Rhinolophus ferrumequinum: one gene and its partner. The protein of the gene in region 2 purifies or fractionates together with the protein of the main gene of each other region. This does not show direct contact. Links are inferred from orthologs where the notes say so. Each region holds a gene or a part of one and is shown on either strand. Other genes may lie near its edges.

The links.
Region 1: the proteins of MRGBP (region 2) and MBTD1 purify together in Homo sapiens (affinity purification with mass spectrometry; 4 studies listed by BioGRID and IntAct, counting the BioPlex papers as one, with this or other methods). This does not show direct contact. The link is inferred for Rhinolophus ferrumequinum from reciprocal best matches to the Homo sapiens genes MRGBP and MBTD1.

Annotation. Positions count from the first base shown.
Region 1 is NC_046304.1:32,513,422-32,523,677, forward strand, and holds the start of MBTD1 (MBT domain-containing protein 1), read left to right. Parts: upstream 1-5,474; 5' UTR 5,475-5,738; intron 5,739-5,789; exon of another isoform or gene 5,790-6,023; intron 6,024-6,652; 5' UTR 6,653-6,715; intron 6,716-10,256. UniProt on the Homo sapiens protein: Chromatin reader component of the NuA4 histone acetyltransferase complex, a multiprotein complex involved in transcriptional activation of select genes principally by acetylation of nucleosomal histones H4 and H2A.
Region 2 is NC_046306.1:927,917-938,289, reverse strand, and holds MRGBP (MRG/MORF4L-binding protein), read left to right. Parts: upstream 1-6,090; 5' UTR 6,091-6,158; coding exon 6,159-6,306; intron 6,307-6,601; coding exon 6,602-6,723; intron 6,724-8,076; coding exon 8,077-8,158; intron 8,159-8,384; coding exon 8,385-8,459; intron 8,460-9,016; coding exon 9,017-9,204; 3' UTR 9,205-9,974; downstream 9,975-10,373.

The sequences.
Region 1 (10,256 bases), on a different chromosome or scaffold from region 2:
ACCAGAGATGCAGAGAAGCAGAAAACCATGGCCCATAATAAGTAGAAAAATCAGTCAACAGAAACACAGAATGACAAACATAAGAAAAGTAGCACACAAGAACTTTGAAGTATCTAATACAAATAGATTCAAGTCTTTACAGGAAGCGTTAACATAACAAAAGGGAAAAATAGGAACTAAACAAAACTCAACAAGGTCTCAAGCGGAAAAGATCTTCTAAAGCTGAAAAATGTAATGCCTGAAATAACAGACTCACTCAATGTGCTTAACAGGTGTAAGACTACATACTACATGGTTTCATTTAGATAACACTCTGGAAAAGGCAAATCTGTAAGGATAGAAAACACATCAGTGGTGGTCAGGGGTTAGATAGGTTAAAAGCTGAGGAAAGAGGATAGACTACAAAGGGGTATAAGAGGATTTCAGGGGAGGGTGATGGCAACGGTCCATATTTTGATTTCTTATCTTAATTGTTGTGGTGCTTATATGACTATATGTGTTTAACAAAACTCATGAAGATACTTTAAGAGTGAATTTTACTGTGTGTACATTATACTTCAATAAACCTTTTTTTTTTAAGTGATAATATGATAAACCTCTAGGATATTAAAAAGTGTCACTTATAGGGGTGGCCGGTTAGCTCATTTGGTTACATCATGGTGCTAATAACACCAAGGTTGCCAGTTCCATCCCCACATGGGCCACTGTGAGCTGTGCCCTCCTTAAAAAAAAAAAAAAAAAAAAAGTCACTATAAGCAAAAATAAAATATTTTTAAAGATTTTTAGAGCTCTGTAAGTTTAAACTGGAAGAATCAATATGAAACCATTATTTTAAAATATACATTTATTTCCTGGCTCTGTTCAACTAAAAGAACATAGAAATTGTGAAAAAGAGATGGTTTACCATATACAAATGAAACAAGTAAGCAATATCATCACTGATTATATTTGGGTGGTGGGATTACAAATTTTTTCCAGATATTTTTGGACTTGTATTTCCTCTTCCCCCAAAATACTAAAATTTAATCATTTGTCCCAATAGCAATGCTATTACAGCCAAAGACTGAGTGAATCAAAATAAACTGGTTATAAACACCTCCTGATTAAACTGTATAAAAAAGGATACTTACTCTTCTTTAAGTCTTTTTTGAAGCTCATCTTTTGACAGTTTATTTTCACTGGTGTTTTTCATCATATCTTTCCGAAAACGATTGCTTATCATGTCAACCCTATAAAAAACAGAAGAGCGTACTTTAAATGACTTTTAAAGAACCAACATAAATAGTTGTTGCCTTTAGTAGTTAGAGAAAATATTTAATTGAACAATATATATATCAAGATTTATAAGACCTGAACCATCTCAGACACACATTCTCCATTTTTCCCAAAACAGCAAGGAGTCTCCAATATTTCAGATCATCCAGTTTACTCTTTGAAGAACTAATATTTCCAATTCATAATGACTTATCTAGACGTGGCTTATGCCATTCACCTAAATAAATTCTAGGTAAAACAAAGAATTAAATATATTAAAAAAAACCCAAACCTTAAAATACTATGAAGGAAGAATATAGGCAAACATTTCTCTCTCTCTGATGGACTTTTTACTGTTAAAAACAACAACAAAAAAAGGAGAAAAAATTCACAGATTTGACTATCTAAAAATTTAACTACTCTGACAACATTAACAACAAAATTAAAAGGCAAACAAAGCTGGGAGAAAATCTACAATAAATTTGACATATCAAGGTCTGAAATTCTCAGTATATAAGGAGTTGATATAGGAAGATCATTAAGAAACAGTCTCATCCTGCCATTTGTGACATGAATGAACCTGGAGGACATAATGCTAGGTGAAATATGACAGGTACAAAGGAAAAATACTGAATGATCTCACTTGTATGTGTAACCTAAAAAAAGTAAAACACATAGAAGCATAAAGTAGAATGGTGGTTACCACTGGTGGAGAAGTGGGGGAAATGGGGAGACGTTGGTCAAAAGTTACAAAGTTGCAGTTATGTAGGATGAATAAGCCTAGAGAGCTAATATACAGCCTGACTACAGTTAATAATACCGTATTGTATACTACAAATTTACTAAGAGAATAGGTTTCAGGTGCTCTCAACACAAAAAAGGTAACTATATGAGGAGACAAATATGTTAATTAGCTATGGAAATTATAGTTAATTCATACATGAACTATAACACATCCATTTAAAAATGTTTATACAGGTTTTTTTAAAGTGAGGAGAAAGGTGTGCGATATACTCATTCTTATCCAAGTACATATTGTGTGTTATTAGCTAACTTTTTTTAGCCTTTTCTCGGTTTCAGGTTCTATGCTAAGAGCTCTACATACACTATTTCGTTTAATCTCAAAAGCCTTCTGACACAATTACTATCATCATTCCCATTTTATAAACTTGTCCATGGTCAGTTAGGAACTGGTCAAATCAGGAGGCAAACGCAAGTCTAGACTGCGAAGAAGAGGAGAGGGCCAACATGTTGATAGTGGTTCTACCTCGGTGGCTGGATTAAGAATGACCTTTCCTATACTTTCCCATTATTTTTCAAATCTTCACATAATCACATATTCATAAAGAGAACTTTTTACAAAATGTGCAATATAATTTTGAAAGTATTCAGAGGGATTCTGGAAGAAAAGTTAGGCAACTTACATTTCCTCATCTTCATCTTCTTCATCCACCCAAACTGGCTTCTTTTGAGGTGGGAAATTATCTTTCGCTTCATTCTCCACTTCAGAGTCACCTGAGTCTTCCAGTGCTTGAACCTTGAGAAGACAAAACGATCTCAAGCACTGAATTTTTCACATCCAATGGTGGCAGACACACACATCTTGAAGTCAAATGGCTTGTAGAATGGTTTGCTTTTACAACCCTCTGATGAAATAGGACAGAATGCTATCACAGGAAATGCTGAAGACAGAATAGAAAATAAGATTAGAGAATGGCACCACAGGCTGAGCAGGTGAGGTAAGATGGAACAGTCAAGGAGTGAAAGTCTACATGCTCACAGGAAAACACCAAGTAAGACAAGAACAACAAAAGGAAGATGACCGATAAAGAAAGGGGGGGGGGGGGCGGGAGACCAGGAACTCCAGAAATTAAGGGACCAGAGGCAAACTAGCATCAAAAATAAAATAACATGGCCAGCCCGGTGGCTCAGGCGGTTAGAGCTCCATGCTCCTAACTCCGATGGCTGCCAGTTCGATTCCCACATGGGCAGTGGACTCTCAACCACAAAGCTGCCAGTTCAATTTCTCGAGTCACGCAAGGGATGGTGGGCTCTGCCCCCTGCAACTAAGATTGAACACGGCACCTTGAGCTGAGCTGCCGCTGAGCTCCCAGATGGCTCAGTTGGTTGGAAAGCGTCCTCTCAACCACAAGGTTGCCGGTTCGATTCCCCCAAGGGATGGTGGGCTGCGCCCCCTGCAACTAACAACGGCAACTGGACCTGGAGCAGAGCTGCGCCCTCCACAACTAAGATTGAAAGGACAACTTGAAGCTGAACAGCACCCTCCACAACTAAGATTGAAAGGACGACTTGACTTGGGAAAAAAGTCCTGGAAGTACACACTGTTCCCCAATAAATTTCTGTTCCCCTTCCCCAACAAAATCTTTAAAAATAAAATAACATAATTGAATATCATAGTTAACTCATATTTCATATTCTTAGACATACCTCTTCTCCATTTTTCTTAATCGTTCTTGATCCCCTACCTTTTCAAACTTTATACTGTACTATCAAGTCTAAATGTAGACCACAGAGTACTCCCTAAAGTGAGCTTGAGCTTTCCCAAAACCACGATAGAAATGTCCAAATGATTTCTACTTGCTGTTACCAGCCTATTATCCTTCAAAACCCAACAAATCCCACTTCATGTGGACTGTTTCTTTTCCTGACTAGGAAACTGTCACACAGTTCAGCACTTTTCCAGTAGTAGTTCTCTGATTCCCTACTAAGTTTCTGCAGCTTCATCCGTAAGCACCCAAAGGAGGTTCTGGCAATCAATCAGTTGATACTTGCTAGGTCCACGTTCATTTGCCAGACTGCATAATTCTCAGTGAGGCTTTATTTGACCATCCTAAGTAAAATGTCACAGACCTTCTCTCTACACACACTTATCTCCTTTTTCTCAAGTGCTTTAATGTTTTTCTTTTCAGGACTAGTCATTGACATACTTGAGTTTTACAGAAGTACTTATCTCCTTTATTTTCTGCCTCTGCCACTAGTACTCCAGGAGGCAGGGATTTTTGTCAATTTTTATCCACTGCTGTTTCTCCTCCAATGCCTAGAACAATGCCTGGGACTATCTTCGGAAAAATTCCAGATATATAATAAAAAGGATGAGAGAAAGTGCAAAAATTATAACAACTCAGGGTTTTTACAACCAGGAAAAGTATCTAGTACCCGATAGGCTCACAAATACTTGAAAAAACGAATACGTGGTCATTCTCAAAGATTGGCGAGTCAATCACTTGGGGAGATGTTAAAAGGCAGATTCCCAGGCCCGTGCCCACGAATTCAGATTCCACAAACGAAGTGGAACTCCTGAATCACCGCAAGGTACCGAGGCAGGCGATCGTCCGAACACAAGGAAAAAAACACTGAGTTTGAGGATAGTGGGGCTGAATCACCAAAGATGCGCATGACCCAGTTCGCTAAACAAATACGTGTTGAGCGCCTGCTGGATACTAGGCGCAGAGGCTCCCACGGGGGCGGAGAAAGGCGCGGTCTCCGCCCTCCCGAGACTTTCCGTTTGAGCCCCGTCGGCGCCCGCGTTCTCGGGCTCCCTCCCACCTGAGAGCTCCCCGGCGTCGCAGGTCGCCTAGACTCCGTCCCCGGAGGCTTGCCGCCCAGCGCGCGCCCCACCCGAGCGCGCCCAGCCCGCTCGCCGCGGACTCCCTCACCCGTGGGCCTCGCAAACGCTGCAGCAGCGCGTCCTCATTGTCCTCGACGTCGCCGAAGACCAGCTCCTCCAGGCACCGCTCCACTACTGGCTTGTCCTCCTCCAGCGTCAGGCGGTTCCGCTGCCGGAGCCGTTTCTCCTCCTCCACGGCGATTGCGATCGCAGCGGCCGCTGCTCTCGGCCGAGTCAGCGGTTTCCGCTGGGATGAAGGAGCAGCCTTTCGGGGCGGCCCGTCCGGCCCCGCTCCGGCTCTCCGATCCCGCTTCATTCGAGTCTTCTGGTTCAACCTCGTTCCGGTTCTCCGGTCCGGTCTCGTTCGGGTGCCCCGTTCAGGCGGCATCGTTAGCTTTGAGAAGAAACGCAGGTACTCACGTGGAGCCTCACTGCGCGTGCGCCGAAGCGCCTGTCTAGCCACTGTAGCTGAGGCCCCGGCGGGAGGGAAGGAGCCTGCGCAGCCTGCTAGCACGTGACCAACACTCTTTTTCCCTACGTAACGCCCACTCCCCTCACGAGCCCCTCCCCGTATGGGAGTTCCTCCGGGAGGACCAATCTTCCGGGTGGAAGGGGAGGCGGCGTGACTGGAGTGGAAAATTTTTTCCAACACAACTTAGCAGCTTCAACTGATTGAAAGGAGCACAAGAAAGCCAGAGTATAAACTAAGATGACTGAATGAAACTTCTCTTTCTCCTGACTTTTTGACCACTCGACTTAACACGAGCCTCAATTGCCTTTTCCACCCCTCCGTCTTGGTACGGCCCTTGGAGTACGGAGCCTGCAGAGGGTCCCACGCTGGAAGAGAGAGAGGAGGGTATGTAGGGAAGTGGGCCAATCGGGGCGCGGGTCACGGCGCAGGCGCGCTGGGGAGGGAGGGCTATGCTAATGTTGTTGATATCCTGGGGCCACCCGAGTTAAAGGGGGGAAATCCGGGGGCTGCCGCAGCCGCCACCGGTCTGGGCCCAGCCAGGGCACCCCTGTAGTCGCCGTAGTCCCGGGGAGAGGCGCCTGACCCCAGCCCGGGGAGAGGGCGCCGCCGGCCCGGGGAGCACGGACAACCCCTACCCATGAGGCCCTGATGGAAAACACAAAGGATCTGGTGAGAGCCTAGCGCGGCAGCCGCTTTGTGTACCAGGTGGGGGGGACGCTTGCAGCTCCCCGACCCTAGGAAGTCCTGCAGCTCCTTGACCCGGCTCCCAGGCCTGTTTCTCCATCCCACGCCCCCTCAACCTCCGGAGCTCCCCTCCCCCTACCGGCCGTTAAACGATCCAGGGGGTTCCCCTCCCCCCACCCCCTCAGCCCCGCTCTCCTCGGGGTTCTCTCTACACTTTTCTCTATCTGGAACAAAAATTTTAAAAGAAAGTTTTCCTCTGCGTCCCGCCCCCTCCCCCTTCAGCTCTGGCTGTAGAAGAAGTCTGGGTTTGAGACTTTCCCTTTTTCAGCCGCCCAGGGTGGGAGAGTGGAGTCCTCACTTCCCCCAGGGAGGCCTAGTTGTAGTACTTTGTGGAGGAAGGCGCCGGGCCGCTTTAGGGCGAGTGCCGCGAGGCCTTTCGCACGTGGAGGTGGAAATATTGAAAGGGGGCGGGGTGGGCACATGTGGGAGGGAGAGGTGGGAGTGGTGTTTGCGAAGCAGCCGCCTGGGCCGCTGTAGTTTACAAGGGTTCTAGGTCCGTGGGCTTCTATGACGAGTGTGTTCTCTTTTGTGAAATAAGAATCCTAACATTTCAGAGTCGGAAGAGACATTAGAGGTCATCACAGCAGCCGTCCCCTCTGCAGCTTCTCTGACAACTGGTAGGTAGCCTGGCCTTTGCTTAAACTCCTGCAAACACGAGCGATCGCTGCTAGCCAGGAAAGCCTGCTCTGTTTTTCAGTTGTCCTGATTGTTTGCCTCCCCTTAACAGACCCTGCAGTCTCTTCATGTCCTGGTTACGCTGCTCCCTTTTTTACTTCTCAAATTTTCTCTCACATCCTCCTCACTCACCCACCCACCGCTCACTGGCCTATATTTTGTGTGCCAGGAAAGAACGTCAGGGAAGTGGAGGGAGGAGGGTTTGCGAGCTAGTGAGGTCCTTGCTGAAGACTTTGCGGGGTCAAGTTTCAAAAGTGGTGGCTTATGTGTCTAAGAAGGATTGATATTTTACTACTGAAAGCTTGGAAAGTATGGTTTGGGGATTTCGTGCCTGTGCTCTCTCGCTAGTGCATCTCTTTGAAATTTCAGCAGCATCTCTGTAGTTCTGTCTCAGAGCACCTTTGCTCGTTGCCTAAAGCGCTTTCCCTAAGGATGCGCCTAAAACTGCTTCTTGGGGGTAGTACTGACGCTATTAGAGGGATGATCGGAAGAAACCCCCCTTCCTCCTTTTGACCTGCGTTTTCCTTCAAAGCTGGTCTTCCTTTTCAGGGCCTCTCTTTCACAGTGCTTTCATTTCTTTCTAGTTTTTTCCAAGTCTTTTATGAGCTTTGAAACTTTTGCAACACTTTAATATTTGCTTAGTTTGCGATATTTTTTGTGCTTTTTACATTAATATGTGCCAGTATTTATCGGTTGGTAGTTGAGAGAGTTCAGTTTCTACTATTGTCTGTCACTTAGTGTTTTTCTATTGTTCTCCTTCATTTGGTGAGCTTTACTGCCTCCAAAAGTATGATAGTTTTGTTGGCATGAGAATCTTGGGGGCACATGTTTTCCTCTTCCTACTATGGTGAAGTGGGAGTCCAGACATAACAGGGAAAATGTAGAAGTAATGAATCCGATCTAAAAGCCAGGGAATAAATTTCACTTTAAACTCCCAGTCCCGTTTAAAATGTTAGAGCACAGACATTTTTTCTCTCTCCCCCTTTTATGACTTAGAGACTGTTGTTCTGCTCCAGTGTGCTTAAACTATATTTTTTTTCATTTGTTTACCTCAACACTAGAGAGTGTTTAGAAAGAAAACAGCTTTTTTTGCACTGCCTCCTCTGAATAACAAATAGTTTCTATTTATATAGAACCCATACTCAAGGCTTCTGGATGCCTTGCAAATTATGGCAAAAACTGTCTTGAATAAGTATCTGTTCATAAGTATCTTATTTGGGCCATGTTTTTTAACCATTTAATTTATAATTTTATACAAACTTTGACATACAGTATTTCCTATAAATCTAGTCACTAGAATTTAACATGGCAATGGATTCTAGATACTGAAAAGAAATAATATAGATGTAAAAGTCTGTCTTTAAAGTTGTAAGTAAAGTTTTAATATGGAGCTCCAAGTTACTTCCTGCTTGCTTTAAACATGAACTGTCATGACTTAAGTTGACTGACTTTGGAGTCGTTTGCATTCTAAACATACTAGACAGGAACAACTGGTTTTATTTTTAAAGAACACGGTGCTGTATTTTTTATGGCTGGCTATATGTTGACCTAATTAGTGTCTAAACCTTCCTAGATGCTTCTAGTCCTTCAATTACATTGGAAGTTAGCAATTTAAATGGTTTTAAAACATAACATAGTAGTCAAAAGAAGGTAAAACTATAGCTTAGAAGTGAAAACAACATATTAATATCATAAATACTGAACCACTAAATTACTATAAGCCCAGAGTACAGTGGTTTGAGTGACCACATTCTAAAATTAGAAAAGTTGCTATTCTTTTGGTTGCTCCTTGTTCTCAGCTTTTCATTTTTAAAATGTTTACTAAATAAGATTTAGCCTTTTCACATTGTAATTTAAAGGTGAGCCAGTTGAAGTATCTCATTAGTTTCAGGATTTCAAATCCTAGAGAAAGATTAAAAACATCAGGACAGTAGAAGAGGAAGGACTTAAAATGGTTAAAACAAGCTAAGATATATCTCCTCTAATACCAGGGTATTCCTAAGTGTCAAAGACTAGTTTTACTTTTATGTAAATTGATTTAGATTTAATCGTAATTATTTTCATAAACCTTTTTTTATTAGGATTTTTTCCCCCAGAAATTCAGAATTGCTCTTGTTGCTTTTCTGGAACCCACAAGCAAGGGTGGAAAGAAAATAATTCTATCTGAATAAACCCTGAGTTTAGGTGGGATAAAGTGATTTAGTAAGAGGGGCACTGGCAGACTAGGTTTGGAGTTTCAGTTTTGCCACTAACCAGCTTCGTGGCACTTGATGAACAAGATCCTGTGCCTCAGTTGTGTTATCCTCACAGTTGAAGAGTTGGTTTAGAATCAGTGTTATCCAATAAAACTTGCTACAGTGATGGAAATGCCCTATATCTGTGCTGTCCAATGTGGTAGTCACTGGCCACGTGTGGCTGCTGAGCACTTAAAAGGCAGTAGCTAATGTGACTGAGGAACCCAATTTTTTAATGTAAGTTGCCACATGTCTATCATATTGAACATACAGATATATAACTGTATTTTCCAAGCTTAGCTAATAACTAGAATCACCTTTTAGGGTTCTTGTGAAAATATAAAACCTCTCTCCTGTAAGCTGTTGTTCAGGAGGTCTGTAGTGGAGCCTGGAAATCTATTTTTAATGCATGTCCCAAAAAGATTTTTATTACATTGGTTAGGGAAACACTGCATTAGAAGATTTGTGAGCTCCCTTCTAGTTCTCACTTTAGAATTGATAACCTAGCGTAGTAGAAATGAGCTTTGGACATAGTTGGCAAACTGCCTGGGCTCTAACTCTGCCACCTCCTGACCTGTGATCTTCGGCAGTTGCCTAATCTCTTTGAACTTCATTTTCCTCATCTAAAATATGGACTGAGCATCAGCCCTGCCTCCCTTCCTCCCTAGGTTTCTGGAAACCTCCAATCAGATGTGCTGACCACTGTATATGAAAATGCAAGCTGCTATAAACAGTAATTTAAATGTTATGCTATCTTCCCAGAACCCCTTTTCCTTTTTCCCTTTTCATTATGTTATCCAATTCCTACTTCGTTCTTTTAGAACTGGTTTTATACAGTACTGCTTAATTAATTTAGTAATTTCTTGTCCTTCGACATTTGGCCATAGTTTTCAGTCTAGTTGTAGGGCATGCATATTAAATCCAGCACTTTTTTGAATTTCTGGGGCTTAGCATAATGATTTGTATATATTGCTCATTTAAATACTGGATAATAACATCTATTACTTTACTTTTAGACTTCAAAACTTTAATTAGCTAGTTTCCAATTACACACCAGAGAAATAACCCCCTGTGTACACATACATGTTTAACCCTATTTTAATTGTTTAATTATTAATACCCTATAGTTACTACTGTTCAGTGGTTATATATCTTTTGAGCAACCAACTCCAAATATATTTATAAAAGATAAACACCAAGGGAATATCATCATTTTACATTAATATTTTTAGGTCGTACCAAATTAGCA
Region 2 (10,373 bases):
GCCCTCCGCCTCCAAGGGCAGCTCTGGGTCCTTCCAGGCAGGTTCACAGGGCCACCGCCCCGTTCTCAGGAAGGTGGCAGACGTCCACACCCCAACTCCCAGGGCCTGGAATATGTGTCGTGTTATGTGACAGGGCAAAGGGACTTTGCAGATGTGATTAAGGCCACAAACACTGTGGGGCAGAGTGTCCTGGGTTACCAGGTGGCCCCACGGAGTCACATGAACCATTTCCCAGGCATCTCTGGAGCAGGAGGTAAAGTCAGGGAGACTCAGAGTGTAAGAAGGACCCCACCTGCCTTCACTGGCTTCCCTGGGCCGGAGAAGAAGGGGACAGCTGGGGGCCACAGCCAGCCAGGACAGACCCTCAGTCCTATAGCTGCAAGGAACTGGATCCTGCGCATAGCTGGGGTGAGCGGGCAGCGGCTTCTTCCAGAAATGCCCAATAGGCACTCACCTGTGACACCTCGATTTCAGCGTGTGAGACTCTGAGCGGAGACCCAACCACACCAGCATGAGACAGTGAGCCGGTGCGCTTCGGCACTGCTACATTTGTGGTCATTTGTTGCAGCGGCTATAGGAAATCGATCCAGTGTCTGCTGGACTGACGACTTCGCCACAGCTTGGTACCCGTGGGCTTTTCAGTCTTTTGATAGCTTTGTGCTACTATCCCTGCACATTTTTCTGTGTGCAGAGGACAATCCACACGTGAGCCCTGAGCTCGGCCTCTCCTGTGGCCCAGTGAGTGACACACGGTCACCACCCACAGGACAGGGGAGCTGGCTCATCCAGCGCTAGGAACACGCAGGACCCATTCTGCAGATGCCATCGGATGCTGGGAGTTCTGTGGCTGTCCCCTGTGTCGTCCTGAGAAGCCTGCGTCCTGGATCTGAGTTGGGGGCCACGGGTGAGGCAGGGTGGGGCCACTGGTCACCTCTCTGCAAGGAGTGGACAGCTCCGAGCGCCTGCATCAGCTGTCCCCACTCCTCATGGTGTTCCAAGCGCTGCTCACGAGGAAAAAGATGCCGTGGGCAGGACTGGCCTGGGCCAGCGTGGCCAGCAGTGAGGGGACACAAGAGGCAGGACACAGGGACACACACTCCAGTGCAGTGTGGCCCCCAGCCGGGACCCGTGCCTTGCCAGCCCCTTCCTTCTGCTGCTGTGAGCTGTGAGTGCTGCCCACTAGTGCTCACCTCCTCTGGTGACCAGCCCTGCCAAGCATTTGGCTTTCCCAGGAAGGACCTTATAAGCCCCAGGGCCCGGCTGGGACACAGGCCCAGGTTTGTGCTCAGATGGGCTGAAATGTTCTGGGTCCATGTCTTACTCAAGCTCGAGAGAAAGCATTTGCTTTGCAGGAAGACGTTCCAGGCACTTTCTCAATACACAGAGCCTCCTCTGGCGGATACGCGGGGACCCCAAGTTCTGAAATGGAGCAGCTGGTGTCAAAGGGCAAACGAAGTAGCCCGGGGGTCCACTACAACATGAGGTCAGAGTCCTCCCTCCTCAGTCAAGGTTTCCTGGGCTTGCTGCACAGAGACCTGCCCAATTTGGCTGTTGGTGGAGCCCCAGACCCCACAGAGGCGCACGGGCCCAACTCCACAAGCCAGCGGCAGTAGGAAAGAAAGGACTGTGGGAAACTCAAGCGTCGGTTTTTACAGGAAACAGAGTTCTCAATGGCCGAGAGTCGGGTGGTTGAGGAAACCACGGCACACAGATGGGGGATCCTTAGCACCATTTGTGTGACTGCGGTGAGGTGGGCAGACCGGGTCGACCTAGACGGTACAGTTCTAAGGGAGAGAAGCAGCCCTCTCCCTCATGCAGAAAGACGAGTGCGGCAACAGACTAAAGAAAACGGCAGGTGAGCACCTGTGGCCTCTAGGCAACCGACCCCACCCGCCTTGGCCCTGTCTGCTTTCCTCCACTATCAGAGCAGTAGCTGTGCTCTTCTCATCTGTCTCCCTTGTCTCCAACACAGCAGCCGTGCTGTGTTCCCACGTCGGTGCCTGGCACATAGCTAGTGGGTGCCCGGCAAACGTCTGTAGGATGCATGGATAGATGGATGGATGACGGATGGAGAAGGAGACGTACAGCACACTGCACATGGTACAGAGCCTGGCTCAGGAGAAGTGCAGGGCAAAAGGAATTTTATTTCAGAATGACTTTTCCTGCCTATAAGAAAAATACTCCCTTTCACAAAGAGAGCATTAGCCATTCTCCACACTGACCCAAAGAACCATTTCCTTTTGTTGCATGTGCACAAGAAAGCAGAACTGGCCTTTGGAAGCTGAATTAATGGGGAAAGATTCCATCTTTTTAAAATAAGTTCAGCCCCTTGTTGGTGCCCTTGAAACTGACTTGAGAGCTGACATGGATGAATAACCCAGGCACAACTGCTGTGGCATGTGGCAACTGTCACATCACCGTCCTGCAGCATTTTGAAGTCATAATTGTCCCAGGTTTCTAAGAGACCCAAGGAGATGAGAATAACAGTGGGAAATGACGCATGGCACCCGCCATCATGTGACCGCGTAAAAGGCTTCATCTTAAAATAAATAGAACGGGGCAGGGGACGGGGTGAGGGGAGCGGGTCTATGGGGCAGGGGCATTGCTGGAGTTGCCTTTGAGTCATCTTGGGGACAGGGGTCTTCAAAGCCAAGTTCAATAAAACACTAGCCTCTGGAGATCAAGGGTCCCCTCCTTGCCGTGCGGGACGGGGCTGCATTGAGCCAAGAAGCTGAGATTGTCTCCCGATTGTCCCCATCGCCCCCATCGTCCCCATGGCCCACGTGCTCTCTCTTGCTGCAGCAGGGCCCCTCATTGGGTGGGTTCCCGCACTTCACCCAGCTCTACACCGGCCTCAGCATTGACACCCCTCCTAAAGAAGGGGCTTCCTGCAAACTGGGGGCCACAGGAGGGGAGGGAGGAAGGGCTGGAACAGTCAGTCCCAGCAAGGAAAAACGAGTGGTGACCCACGGGACCCCATTCTCAGAAAAGGCAAAAGAGTGGGGGTTGGTGCTCTGGGGTCACACGGGCAGAGTGCAAAGCTTGGCCCCTATCTGGCATAGTGGACCTGTTACCCAGCATTCCCGTGCCTCAGTTTTCCCAACACAAAGAGGATAATAACAGCCAGTGGCACAGAATAAGCAGGAGACCCTCTTATTTCCTGATAGCTTGGTCCCTGCAGGTGAAGATGAGGCCATAAGCTTTCACAGCCACCATTTGCCAGCTGGACAAAGGTCCTTCCTGCAGGGCCTGGCTCTAATGACAAAAAGGCTGTGACCAAGGATTTGGAGGACCACACGTCCCACAGCAGGCTGGGATCCCCCCAAGGAACTGGAAAATGAAAAGACGATAAAAAGCAGCTCAGCCTGGCCTCCCTGCCCGTTGCAAGGCAACGTGGGAAAGCGTTGGAGGTAGTTGGGCGGCCCCTCCCTCCGTGGGCTGTACCTCGAGACCCCTGGAGGACTGCTGCCCGCCCCCAAACTGACTCAGCAGAGCGGTGCTGTGTGTGCGTGCTGACATGTGCATGCACACACGTGCAGATGTGTGCCTGGGAGAACGTGCAGTTCTGACCCACGCCCGACTGGTGTGTGAGAGCTGGCCACACTCAGGCGGAGAGGCCCAGGCCTAGCAGAGCTTGCACCCTTCTCCTCCACCTGGCCCATCCCACCCCCCGGCACCGGAGGCACACGTGACGACAGGCTTCCAGCACAAATGCACAAACACTGTCCATCAAGGCAGGGGGTGGTGAAGTCAAGGCACCCTGACCTGGGGTCCTTGACACCCACAAAACCAGCCCTGGGGAGCCAGGGCCTGGGGTCTCCCCTCGGCCATCACAGCCGAGCTGCTCACTCCCTCTACAAATCCCGATAGTGCCAAGCAGTGACAGGGCCACCCTGTCCCTCACTCACACAGCTCACCCCACTGAGGTAAGTGGGGTACTATGGACCTGGTGGCCCCCACGCTTTGGGACAAATCCAGCTGCCGACCAGAAGGCACTTCAGGCAAATTCAGGAGTACGACTATCAGATAAAATACAAGATGCCCGGTTCAATCCTAACTTTACATAATGAATACTTTTTTTATATAAGTGTATCCCATGTAATTTGGGGGACATACTTATATTGCAAAATTATTCACTGTTTATCTGAAATTCAAATTTAACTGACCATCCTCTATTTTTATATGTTAACTCTGGCAACCCCCCAAAATAAGCCACCCCCCAAAAAAAACACCAGTCAGGAATGACCAGCAACTGAGCCTGGCATCCCAGGGCTCCCCACAGCCCCTGGGCCCAGCTTAGCTCTACAGGTGACGTGGTGGGGACAGTAATACCTAGTACCAGGACAGAGTGCTGTGAGGATAAAGGGAGCTGACCACAGATCTGATGCCCCATCCCCACCCCCACCCCCAGGGCGGGACACACATCCTGGGGGTCATCACAGGGATTCCTCATATGCCCCTCCGGAAGAATTGGACTTCCTTTTCAACATGCTGTGACTGGCGACCTCTGGGTGGGCCAGGTGCCAGGAGAACAAGCCTTCACTTGGTTCCTGCCTGCACATGTTTGACTCAGAAGCTCTGGTTTGGGTCCCAACAGTGGGTGGGAGGCGCCCCCTAGAGGTGAGATGTGTGGGCTACAAGCCCTGGCTAGTGCTGGAGCACAAATCTCACCACCCAAGCTGGCAGTGCTTGGTGGGTCCCCAGGAACCTGGGGGGAAGAGGCTCTCCACTGGGAGAAGGCAGGGATGGGGTGGGGGAGAGCAGAGAGTGAGCCTGGCAGACGAACTGGGCCCCCGAGGTGTCCAGGGCACAGTAAGGAGATTAATAATGAGGAGGCCCTCCCCTTGAGCTTTTACTGCGGGAGCAGCCTGTGTCAAGTGGCTGTGGGCCGAGCTTCCTCCCCGCCACCTCGCGGCTCACATGACAGCTAGTGGCCCTGGGCCATTGCAGAATCCTCCCTGGGCCACGTCTCCCACCTGGCACTGTGGAGACTAGCGTTGCCAGCAGCCTCCTGCACAGATGGAAAGCCGAGATTCAGGCCCCGACCAGTTGACCCAGCTTTGAGTCCACCAGGCTGTCCCGGGCGATGAGGCTGCACCGCCAAGGGACAGCGCCCAGCAGCGTGCCTCCAGCTCTTTACGACGAAGCCTGAGCTGTGTCGGGCCACACAGCAGACGGCTGGCAGGGTGGCCCACCCTCATCAATAATACACCTGGGAACTGCGCCCTTGTGGGTCCCATCGCACGCAGGAGGAAGCTGAGACCTAAAGAAGCCCAGCGCGCTGCTCGACTCGCAAGCTGGCAGGCCCCAGAGGAAGGGACCCGGAAGCCCCAGCGAGAGTCTACACCACTGGCAGGCGAAGAGCGCCCTGCGCAGCAGCGTTCTCCGCCGGGGCACGGCGGGGGCGTGGCTTTGCGGGCCCGGGGCTGGGACAGGAGGGCTGGGGGCGGAGCCGGGGGCCCCGGCGGGCCTTGATTGGGTGCTGCCTTGAATTCGTCACTGGGCTGCCCCAAGTTAGCGGCACGGTCCCGGCCCCGCCCCCGGTGCCGACCAGCCATTAACACGCACTCGGGCCCCACCCCTGCCCCCGCCCAAACCGCTCCGCCGCCCGGGGTAACCCCAGTCATTCAGCCCGGAGGCCGGCGGTCACAGCGGCGGGGCCCTTTCGGCCCCTGCCCCGGTGCGCAGGAGCCCGTCCGTGCAGCGCTCAGGCCAGAGGCCAGACAGACGCAGTCGAAGCCCTTTTAACTCGCAGAACTGACAGTTGCCTGTTCTTTTTTTTCTTTCCCGCTTTATGGGGTATAATTTGCAATTCCGCCATTTACAGTCAGTGGGCTTTACCCAGACTTGTGCAGCCCGAGCGCCACAGCCTAAGATAGAGCGTTTCCATCCCTCACCTCAAATCCACTCCATTTCCGGAGGTCCGCGGGGTCGGACGGTACTGCGCTTCAGGGTCGGGCCGCCAGGGGGCGCCGCGCCGCAAGGGGACACGGCGGGCGCCCGCCGGGACCGAGCCTCCGCTGCGCCTGCGCCGGCGCCGGCGCCGCGGGCGAGCCCGAGCGCGAGCCCGCCGAGCGCGCTCCCCCCGCGAGTGCGCCTGCGCGGAGCCCGTGGCCGCGCCCGCTCCCACCCGGGGCTCGTCGCTGGGCTGCCGGGCTATGGGGGAGGCTGAGGTGGGCGGCGGCGGCGCGGCGGGCGACAAGGGTCCGGGGGAGGCGGCCACCAGCCCAGCCGAGGAGACGGTGGTGTGGAGCCCCGAGGTGGAGGTGTGCCTCTTCCACGCCATGCTGGGCCACAAGCCCGTCGGTGAGCGGAGCGCCGCGGACCTGCGTGGGGGCGGGGCGGGCAGGGCAACGGCCGGGGGCGCGCGCAGGGCGGGGCCCTCCCACCCCCTCGCCCCCTCCCCCCGCTGACCCTGCGCCTTCCTGCACCTCCCACTGTGCACCCGTGGGCCCAGGCCCCTCCCACACCCCCGTGACGCCTCTCCCCTTCTGCACCCACCCAGCACCCCCTGCTCCACCCCCCGCCCCCTGCCCCCCCCTCTCTCCTCACTCCCACCCCGTCGCCTCCCCCACGCTGACCCCTGCCTCCTCTCCCGTAGGTGTGAACCGCCACTTCCACATGATCTGTATCAGGGACAAGTTCAGCCAGAACATCGGCCGGCAGGTGCCGTCCAAGGTCATCTGGGACCACCTGAGCACCATGTACGACATGCAGGCGCTGGTGAGCTGGCCCCCGCCCCCCCAGTTCCCGAGGCCAGAGACCCGCCTTCCCTCAGACGCAGCGGCGGCGGGGTCCCCCCCAGGCCCTGTCCTCAGAGAACCTGCCATGCCGCTGGGGACGTGTCATTAAACGAGGTGGTTCCAAGGGTCCTACAAGCAGCACAGACCCCAGTGATGGAAGCTGGGCCCCCGGACACAGCCCCTTTTAGGTGGGGGGTCAGTGGAGGGCTCTTCAGGAAGAGAGCCGGGAGCCCCGGCCACCGTGGCTCTTACGGGCGGCCCCCGAGTGCTCTGGGCCGGAAGGTGACCGGATTCCAGCCAGGCTCAGATGAGCACCAGGCAGGCAGGGTCCCAGGCCCCATGGAATTCCCAGCTCGCCCGGTTACCTAGTGACCAGGACGGTCAGCAGGGACAGGTGGGTGTTCCTGGCAGAGAAACAGCAGGTGTCAGGCCGGGCGGCAGCACTTGGGGGCCGAGGAGCGGGCCTGGGCTGGGTTAGGGACGGCTCTGCCTCCCTGCTGGGCTCTGGGCCACGCCAGCCGTCCATCCTAGACGTGCGTGCGCATCACAGATGGAGAGCGTCCGGATCCCGTGCGCCCCTCGCTTCCTGTTGGCCTTGGACAAGTCGTTTGAGTCATTTGGGTCTCCTTGCCGTAGGCAGATGGGATAAAGGTGATGCTGTGCCCTGGACCCCACCCGCAGGGCGACCAGCGGGGCACCCAGCATCCTGTGGGGTTTCGCAGCTCCCAGAGCTGGCTGCCTGGTTTAACACGGCCGCTGAGAGTGGCAGGGTGGCATCGCCTCCCACCAGCTCACCTGCCTTCCTCGGGCGCTCCCTGTGTCCGAGGCGCTCCGCCTTCTGGCATGCGTGCCCTGCAGGACAGGTGGAACCTGACAGGCTGGCTGTGGTGCCCGGCGCCCTCTGCTCTCCTTACCTGCTGTCTGCAGGTGGCTTTCCCGGCCGACACCCTCAGTGTCTTCAGACTGCTCCCACATAGACAACCTCAGGGCTGTCCCTGCCTTCTGAAGGCGACAGCTGCTGCCCGCTTCTGCTCCTGAGGGCCTGTGTCCCTGAGGGCCTGAGTGTCGTCTCAGGTGACACTAAACCGTCTTTCGTCCCCCTCCTGACTCCTGCCAGTGTTGGCAATGTACTTGCGTCTTCTCTGGGCCCATCGATTGTGCCAGCAGAAGAACGAGCGGTCTTCACCCCTTCATGCGTACCTCAGCAGCCCCCCAAGATGGCTCTGTGCGTCCCCGGGGTGCTCCTGAATTGGCTCATACGCAGTTTTACTCACTTGCCAAAATCATCTTTTCTTTTTTGTTTCTAAAAATAAAATGCCTTATTTGCCACCAGCATGAGTCTGAGATTCTTCCATTCCCGAACCCAGAGAGGAACTTCGTCCTCCCAGAAGAAATCATCCAGGAAGTCCGGGAAGGTGAGACTCAGGCGAGGTCAGCTTTGGGAGCTCGAAAGGCAGGCTGTGGTATCAGGGTGAAGGTCACGAGCCTTGGGGAGGAGTTAGGGTGACTGGCATTGAGGCTCGGCCCGCCACGGTGGAGGAGGATTTCTTCAAGAGCCGTCGGCTTCTCTAGAAGGGGCCGGGCAGCCTGAGCCCCCCACCAGTGTGGGCCTTTGGGAAATGGCAGCCATCTCCCTCACAGGAAAGGTGATCATTGAAGAGGAAATGAAGGAGGAAATGAAGGAAGATGTGGACCCCCACAACGGGGCCGACGATGGTAAGTACGGAACACACCCCGTCCCTTCCCTGGGGTCCCCGAGGGACATGGCACCCCACCCCTGGCCGGGCCTCCCCACAGAATGTAGCCACAGATCCTGGCCTGGATTTCTGGTCCCTGGCAGCCAGAGCTGCTCTGCCTGGTCCCACAGTTGAGAAGTACTTTCCATGTACTCAGGCAGGAGCCTGGCCCTGTGGACAGCACGTGTGTGGCCGACACCATGAATGCACCGCGGCGGCCTCGGGCACTGAGGCCCAGTCAGGCAGACCCAGTATGCAGGGCAGGCGGTCCACGTGAAAGTGTGTGGGTCGTCTCAGTACAGGGCAGACCGAGTGTCAGCCGGTTCCCCCGGGCGGGACAGGGTCCTACAGCCTGAGCCAGTGCTGCCCAAGGCACGTCCTCAGGAGGACCGGGCCCTTGTCAGGACCGCCCGCAGCTCAGGAGAGGCTTGTGGGTTCAGAGTGTTGAGTTTGTGGATATAGAATGTTTTAACTGAACAGGAAGATGAAATAAAATTCTGGATATTCTGTTTTCAGCTAAATGATTTTGTCTCCCAGTTTTCTCATCTTCAGGAAGCTTGGGGAAAGCAACCGAAAGGTCTGGCAAAGACAAAGAGAAGAACGCCTCCGACTTGGGGGCCAAGGAAGGGGCGGACAAGCGCAAGCGCAGCCGGGTCACCGACAAGGTCCTGACCGCCAACAGCAACCCCTCCAGCCCCAGTGCCGCTAAGCGGCGCCGAACGTAGACACTTGCACGGGTGCAGGCGGGCGGTCACAGCCGTGGTCACCCCCCTGGGGGCCAATGCTCTGGCCTCTGCTGCCTGCCCTGGGGCCCGGGGGCTCCACTCACCATCTGGGGCTCAGGTGGACCCCAAAGACCAGGACCTCCCCGCCCAGGCCTCAAGAGCTTTGTGACCCAGGCTCATCTGCGTAGCTCGTCTGCACGTCCCAGAGGCCACACACGGGCTGAGGGTCCAGGGTGTGGGCAGCAGAGAAGGCCTAGAACAGCAAGCAATAAAACCCCACCTCCCAGGGCTGCGAGTCTTCCCAGGGTCCGTCTCTCCGTCTGTGCGCCGCTCTTGCTCAACTGACTGCGACCTCAGGAGAAAGTCAGGCCATCGAGCCACACACGGCGGCCTCTCCGTCACCGCCAGAGAAACTGGGGACTGGATGTGTTGGCTCATTCACTTGTACTGTAATGATGTATATAATTTGGTTGCTATTTCACTATTTAATTTTTAAGAAGCCTATTTTACTAGTGTTTTATATGAAAAACATACTGCAGAAGTGAAAAACCTGTGTTGTATTTTTTTGAGATGTTTTCTTTTAAGGTAACGACCACTGAGATCCTTTTGCTCAGTTTTTATATGCCAGATACAGAGAATTTGTAGTGGTTATTTTTGTATCACCGAGTAACTTGCACACCGAGCAGTGAGTGAGTGGAGGGAGGGCCAGGCACCTGCTGGGCTGACAGGAATACACTCCGATTGCCGAACATTAAAGCAACAGAAAGTAACCCAGAGTCGTGTGATTGTGGTGCCAAAATCAGTCACTTTGCCTCCAGTAAGGGGATTTTTTTTTTCCGAGATTTTATAACTGACGCGTACACTTAGATTAACTGCCTGACTCACTTGATACAAAGCAGACACAGCAAGTCACAGCTGCGGATGTGACAGGCCCTCGAATAAGAACCGGTGAGGAGCACCGAGCCAGGGCTGGCACCACCTTCCGGTGGGCCGTCCCCATGGGCCCGGAGCCCAGGCCCAGCTGTGCCCAGTGAGCCAAGAAGTGGGCGCACTCCCTCCTGGCCGGTCACCACACCCGCTCTCTTCATCTGGACAAACCCTGAGAACAGTGAGTTCCTGTCCGCCTGGGAGCAGCAGTGGGACGTCCCTCGTCGCAGTCAGGCAGCAAA